Oryctolagus cuniculus: one gene and its partner. The main gene of each other region encodes a partner of the protein of the gene in region 2 in a complex. Links are inferred from orthologs where the notes say so. Each region holds a gene or a part of one and is shown on either strand. Other genes may lie near its edges.

What was found.
Region 1: the proteins of RAF1 (region 2) and RAP1A are in contact, whole or in part, in a crystal structure (PDB 3KUC), measured with the Homo sapiens proteins. The link is inferred for Oryctolagus cuniculus from reciprocal best matches to the Homo sapiens genes RAF1 and RAP1A. Residues at the interface, in NP_001341619.1 of Homo sapiens: Thr57, Arg59, Asn64, Lys65, Gln66, Arg67, Thr68, Val69, Val70, Lys84, Lys87, Val88, Arg89, Gly90; in NP_001010935.1 of Homo sapiens: Val21, Gln25, Ile27, Val29, Asp33, Pro34, Ile36, Glu37, Asp38, Ser39, Tyr40, Arg41.

Annotation. Positions count from the first base shown.
Region 1 is NC_091438.1:58,749,091-58,753,211, forward strand, and holds the start of RAP1A (ras-related protein Rap-1A), read right to left. Parts: upstream 2,935-4,121; 5' UTR 2,784-2,934; intron 1-2,783. UniProt on the Homo sapiens protein: Counteracts the mitogenic function of Ras, at least partly because it can interact with Ras GAPs and RAF in a competitive manner. Together with ITGB1BP1, regulates KRIT1 localization to microtubules and membranes.
Region 2 is NC_091441.1:114,681,192-114,684,120, forward strand, and holds the end of RAF1 (RAF proto-oncogene serine/threonine-protein kinase), read left to right. Parts: intron 1-408; coding exon 409-527; intron 528-876; coding exon 877-1,008; intron 1,009-1,103; coding exon 1,104-1,238; intron 1,239-1,389; coding exon 1,390-1,533; 3' UTR 1,534-2,374; downstream 2,375-2,929. UniProt on the Homo sapiens protein: Serine/threonine-protein kinase that acts as a regulatory link between the membrane-associated Ras GTPases and the MAPK/ERK cascade, and this critical regulatory link functions as a switch determining cell fate decisions including proliferation, differentiation, apoptosis, survival and oncogenic transformation.

The DNA.
Region 1 (4,121 bases), on a different chromosome or scaffold from region 2:
CTCCTCTTCCGATCTAGCTCTCTGCTATGGCCTAGGAAAGCAGTAGAAGATGGTCCAAGTCCTTGGGCCCCTGCACCCACGTGGGAGACCTGGAAGAAGCTCCTGGCTCCTGGCTTCGGATTAGCGCAGCTCCAGCCTTTGCGGCCATCTGGGGAGTGAACCAGCAGATGGAAGACCTTTTTCTCTCTCTCTACCTCTCTCTGTAACTCTGTCTTTCCAATAAAATAAAATAAATCTTTTTTAAAAAGTGTCTAGAATAATTCTATACTTTAGAAGCAGTCAGCATATTAATTTAAAACTAACCAGTAATAGTTACAAATGTGGACTAACTTTTCCCCATAAAATTTTAACAGTAATCAGTCTTATATCTTGTTGCCAGAGACCCAACGTCTGGAATGCAAGTGTACACACCATCATTCCTGAGGCCACACAAAGAGGCAACAAGGCTTCTGAACATTTTTGATACGAAATTGAATACTACTCAAGGATTCCAAGATAGGTGTCAATGGTTGGTTTCAGAGGGCCCCTGAGACTGAACGCAGTTTTTTTTTTTTTTTTTTTTTTTTTTTTTTTTTTTTTTTTTTTTTTTTTTTTTTTGACAGGCAGAGTGGACAGTGAGAGAGAGAGACAGAGAGAGAAAGGTCTTCCTTTTGCCGTTGGTTCACCCTCCAATGGCCGCCGCTGCAGCCGGCGCACCGCGCTGATCCTGGCAGGAGCCAGGAGCCAGGTGCTTTTCCTGGTCTCCCATGGGGTGCAGGGCCCAAGCACCTGGGCCATCCTCCACTGCACTCCCTGGCCATAGCAGAGAGCTGGCCTGGAAGAGGGGCAACCGGGACAGAATCCGGCGCCCCAACCGGGACTAGAACCCGGTGTGCCGGCGCCGCAAGGTGGAGGATTAGCCTATTGAGCCACGGCGCCGGCCTTGAACGCAGTTTTATGCGTAATGTCTGTTACTTTTTTTCTCGGGACAGTGTCCACATATTTCATTATATTCTGGAAGGTGTCAGCAGCCTAGAAAAGGTTAAAAATTATTTCATTTATTCCATGTCAAATATAAAATCCTAACATAAGGTACCTCAAAAATGACAGAAGATAAATAATAGCTAGACACATCTTTGTAATCATTCAGTTCATTCAATGAATAGCGAACATGTGTGACTCTCAACACCTAAGCATATTTAAAGAAGGCAATTCAAAATACCAAGGAATCAACAGAAGATTCACTGAAACACCACATTAAAAAATAATATCAGAAAGAATTTCAGAAAAAAAGCACTACAGGAAAGCATAATAAAGACAGAGGAGGAGTCTGGGGCCTAATTCAGGGCTTATTGTGTCAAAGTATCACATAAATCAACTACATCAAAAGAAAAGCAACACTACACACCGGCATGCCCACCCCCACACATTCAGACAGGAAACCCAAAGAAAGTTTCCAAATCCTGTTTCCAACAGCATCTTTTCTGAGACTGCCCTTCGGCATGTTTTTGAAGGTAGGAGTCCTTCAAAAAAGTTAAGTGCAAGCGCTGATACTTCATTCTTACTGTAAAAAACCAAACCCACACAGAATCACCATCTGTCACCCCCAAATCGGAAAACAGTGGCTACCTGTGGCCCATGAACCTACTGCCTTGTTGGTGCACTTTATTTCTTACACCCTCCTCCTTTCAAAGCAGTACCAAAACGATTTTCCCTCCCCAAAAGGAATACATCACTCCTAAGCACAGTTCTTTTTTCAAGAGGTCAAAGGTCTCCTGCACCCTGGATTTTAGCCCGGTGATGATATCCTCCTATTCTAGGGGGGCGGGGGTGGGGTACACTGTGTCCTCTTCTCCTAGCAGTACAGAAGTGGGTTTCACAATTCAGCTGAAGACACCGTCCTAACTTCCTGAGTGAGGGGGCAAGTAACAGTGCTACCAACCCGACACTCCTGCAGAGCCTCCTCGGAAGGGAGGCGACAACCACACCGCGACCTCCCCACTAACGACATCGGGGCCAGAAGCCGAGACCCAGGCGAAGCCAAGGCTGACAAGAAGAACACATGGCACGCTACAGGAGACAGGGGTGAAAGAGGGCGGGAAAGGGGCTGGGAGGCGCCCTGGGACGTAGAAACGTCAGCCCCATCCACTTGGGGTGGTGGTGAGGGGAGATCGAGGAAGGAAAGGCAGTCCCTGAACCCCTGACAAGTGGACAGGAGCGGGGCAGAACGCCCGTAAGTCTCCGGCAGGGGACGGACGACAGAAAATGTGCCCGAGCCTCCAAGTGCCTCCTCGCGTGCGCCTCCGAGGGGAGCCGGGTCTGCAAGGAAGCCCTAACCCTAGTCAGAGAACATGCAAGAGAAGGAAGAAGGCAGCGAAGTGCAATCTTCCGCACCTCTCAGCAGCGAGGGGCGAGGACACCATGTCCGGGGAGACGCGCGAGGGAAATGGGTTTGTGCCATGACACCTCGGGGAGTTGGAGGGTGGGGGACACAATGTCCTCTTTCTCTCCCACACCCGGCCCGGGCCCCTCCCGTCCGTCTCCCGCAGGCCCAGCCACAGTCGACCGGCTCGGTCCGCGGGCGTGGTTGGCTCTGGCCCTGGCGGCGGCGGCCGGGCCTCCCGAGCTCCGGCCCCTCCCGCCGGCCAGGCCCCCGGGCCGCCGCCCCGGACACGGAGCGAACGCTGAGCAGGAAGGGGGAGCCAGGGACTGACCGGCGACATGAGCCGCCCCTGCCCCGGCCCGGCCGACCCGCGCCCCCTGCTCCCTCAAGGGCTCGCTGGGGCTCCCCGCCCCTCACTCACCCCCCCGGTCCGGCGCCTCCTCCACCTCCTCCTCCTCCTCCTCCCTCCTCTCGGCCGTGGCTCCGGCTCTGCGCGGCGACGGCGGCGGCGGCCTCGGGAGCGGCGGCGGCGGCGCCTCCAGAACGCGCACGCACGCAGGACGCATGTCCCGCCCCCTTAGTTCCGCCCCGCCTCTCCGGGTCGGCGTCGGCCAGGCTTTGGTCCCGCCTTCCCTGGTGGGAGGGGGGAAATCCGGAGTCCGCTTAAAGGAGCCGCTGCTCAGGAAAGGGTAGGGAGAGCGGACGACTGCTGGGAAAGCGCGCGGAGTTTCACATTTGCAGAGGAGCCGGATATGAAATGAGGACGGCTGTAAAGGTTCAGGAGGAACAGAAATTGGAGAGAACGCAACCATGCCACAAGTACTAACTGAGCAGCAGTTAGATGCCGGGCAGTGCCCTAGGCGGAGCGGATAAAGCAAAGGCTGGCTTGGAGCTTGCCGTCTAGTGGATTGGGAGAGGGAGACAGAAGACACAGCAGTGACCGCAACTGCAGGCAGTCTTAAGTGGTGTGGGGCAAGTGGAGCAGCGGGTAGGGTGGATGTTGGGTCAGATACTGCCTCTCTTGGGAGACCTCTGAGCACATACAGACTTGATGGAATGAACCCTGCAAACCTGAGTTGGGGGATGGCCGGGGGTGGAGCACCTGGGGCTTAAATAAGGCAATCAGCCACACTTGCAGAGGTAGGATGTGCCTGCCCTGTGGGCAGGAGCAGTTAGAAGCCAGCAGCGAGGCTCAGTGCAGTGGGCAAGGGGCCAGACCCTGCGGGGCAACGGGAAGCCATGGAGGAGGGTGAGCTACGGTTCGGATTTTTAAAAGTTAATCTTGCTGATGTGTGTAAAGCACACAACAGAGAACACGAAAGTCTGCAGGAGGCTACCGAGGAAGTGAGGTGGTTGGTGGTAGCTTGCCCTAGGATGGCCTTAGTGGGTGTGGTGAGAACAGCGCTATTTATTTTTTAAAATAATTTTGTGTTTTTAAAAATGTGCTAGTTGCTTATTTTATTTGAAAGGCAGAATGAAAGAGACAGAGAGAGATCTTCCACCCACTGATTTACTCCCCAAATGCCTGCAACAGATTCTCCTGAGCCAGGCCTCCAAGTTAGGAGTCTGGAGCTCAATTTAGGTCACCCACATGAGTGACAGGGACTCGAGCACTTGAGCCATCGCCTGCTTCTGCAGGATGTGCATTAGAGGAAGCTGGAGTTGGGACTGGCGCTGAGACTTGAACCCAGGCTCTCCTCCCAATATGGGATGCAGGTGTCCCAAAGTGTCATGAGAAACGCCCACCCAAATCTTACTT
Region 2 (2,929 bases):
AAATGTGACGACGACATTCAGTAAGGGACTTGCTCTTTTTGTTAACACTCACATTTCATTTGATCCTTTGGGGACAGAATGCAGGCACGCCGTCCTCTTAGCAACCCAGAAACATGGCCTGTGCAGTGTTGGTTTGAGGCACCTCTATCACGTGGGACGGTCACATGCCCAGAGACCGCACCTAGACATGGGAAAGGGACAGGGCAGCCCAGGGAAACTTCTGTCTGCTTCCTGCAAGTGGGAATTTCAAATACTTGAGAAATAGTTCTAATTTCAGAAACCTAGAAAATTCGGTGCAGGTAAGTCTGGGATGAGGGGAGAGGCTAGTGTGCTCTCAAGGACTTTGGGAAGTTCTGCAGAGTAAACTTGACCATCCCTGTGAAGTCAGAGTCCTTAACAGGCCTTGAGATATATTCCTCCATGAAGGCCTAACGGTGAAAATTGGAGATTTCGGTTTGGCAACAGTAAAATCACGGTGGAGTGGTTCCCAGCAGGTCGAACAACCTACCGGCTCCGTCCTGTGGATGGTGAGCAATCTGGGCTCCCACGGGCAGTGCAGGGCGAGAGCACCGCTCCGTGGTTGTCTGCAAATGCCCTAAGGCCAGGTGACCCCTAGAGTTGGACAGCCTGGGGCAGTCTAAGGAATGAGGAACGGGAGACGAGCCATTCTGCAGCTGGGCGTGGACAGCACTGAGCAAGCTGGCACAAGCTGTGCGGGCCCTGGTCAGAGACCAGGATTCCGGAGCTGCTTCGGCCCCTGTTTGAGAGGCGGCAGTCCGCTGGGGAAGAGCTGTCTAGGGGTTACGAGTGGGATGGCCTGGGCCCCGGATGGCTGGGGGAACTCTCTCGGGGTGACTGATGGCTTTGTCCCTGTAGGCTCCAGAGGTGATCCGAATGCAGGATAACAACCCCTTCAGCTTCCAGTCTGACGTCTACTCGTACGGCATCGTGTTGTACGAGCTGATGACAGGGGAGCTTCCCTACTCCCACATCAACAACCGGGATCAGGTGAGGCTGCACTGGCTCGCTCACTCGTGGGAGCCTGGGCCTCCTGTCAGGCCTAAGCAGCAGCAGGGTTAGAGGTGTTACATCCTGTTCCCTAGATCATCTTCATGGTGGGCCGGGGCTATGCCTCCCCGGATCTCAGCAAGCTCTACAAGAACTGCCCGAAAGCCATGAAGAGGCTGGTGGCTGACTGCGTGAAGAAAGTTAAGGAGGAGAGGCCTCTTTTCCCCCAGGTGAGCCTTGTAGCTAGAGTGCTGGCCCTGATCAAAGCAGGTGTTGGTGCCCTGCAGTGCGGTGGGGGAGGGGAGGGGGAGTCTTCCGTGGGCAGGGGAGGGGGGCTGCAGCTGAGCGAGCACAAGCCCCCCCCCCCCCCCCCCATTTCAGATCCTGTCCTCCATCGAGCTGCTCCAGCACTCTCTGCCGAAGATCAACCGGAGCGCCTCTGAGCCATCCCTCCACCGGGCAGCCCACACTGAGGACATCAATGCTTGCACGCTGACCACGTCCCCGAGACTGCCCGTCTTCTAGTGACTGCACCTGCGCTCAGGCAGCCGGGCAGGTAGGGACGTCCGCAGGCACCACTTCTCTGCTCCCTTTCTTGGGCGCAGAGCGCATGTTTTCAGAGAAGCTGCTGCTGCTAAGGACCTTCGAGACTACTCACTGGGCCTTCACTTCACGTTGCCTTCTTTTCTACCCTTTCTGGCCCTGGGAGAAGGAAGCCATTCACCATGCTGGCCTGTCCTGCTCGCCCCCTCGTTCTCGGGAGCGCGCAGAGCCCAGCCTTCTCCGGCTGCATTAGTAGATACAGATGGCAATACAGGAGGCGGCCGCGCTGTCAGCTCAGTGAGTCGTCTTGAGAGAGGAAGCTTACTCCAAGGGGAAGTCAAGGCAGCCGGCCAGCCCTCTGGTGGGAGGATGCACGGGAGGTGCCATCCGCTCCTGAGAGGAATGCGGCTCGCAGCAGGGACTCCGTCAGAGCTGGTGCAGCCCAGTTTGCACATACTGCACCAGACAGCCCAGGACTGCCCGGAGGAGCTGCTTCGGTACTACGGGAGGTGACTGGGGACAGCCCCTGCGGGCCCAGCGCGCTGGGACGGCTTTCCGAGCAAGGCCCTCCCCATCTCCACCCTCTCAGGGAGCAGTCTTCCGTCATGCTGAATTTCGTCTTCCAGGAGCTGCCCCTATGGGGCGGGCTGCACAGCCAGCCTTGTCTCGACTCATATCATTGTGTATGCAAGGAAGCCAGTAATAAGAGGTTTTCTTGATGATTTGGGTTTTAATTTTGTTTTTATTGCGCCTGACAAAATACAGTTATCTGATGGTTCCTCAATTATGTTATTTTAATAAAATAAATTAAATTTAGCTTTAATGGCTGTTACCTCCTTTTTTAAAGTAACGCTGAGAACGCGTAGCTGGAATTCTCCCCTCGTTCACTCCCTCCCGGAGCAGAGCTCAAGCCTCAGGAGCTCTTGTCTGTGTTCTTTACCATCCCTAGTGAAGAGTCAGCTATGTGCACCGAGCAAAAAGCACTCTAAACTCCGGGAAGAGATCTTCTACCCACACTTTAATGGATTTTACAGTGTATTTGGTATCTAGCTTTTAACACAAACAGCTAAATGCAGGCCTGGGGTGGGTTTGCTCTGACTCAGAAGGTTCTGTGTGCTTCAAATGTCAACAGCTGATTGCCCTCGCGCCTGTTCAGGACCACTGCTAACCAGAACCTTCTGGATGCCCTCAAGTTTTCAGAGTTCACATCAAAGCCAGGTAAGAACGAACAGCTGGCTTCAGTGCGAACTTCACCTTGTCTAAGTATGTGTGTATGTTTGAAGCCCTTGATGTAATTACTCTGGTGGGCACGAGCCAGTGGGTGAGAGTGGGGACTTGGTTTGCATGGACGACTCTGGCTGGAGGCCCTGCCTTGAAC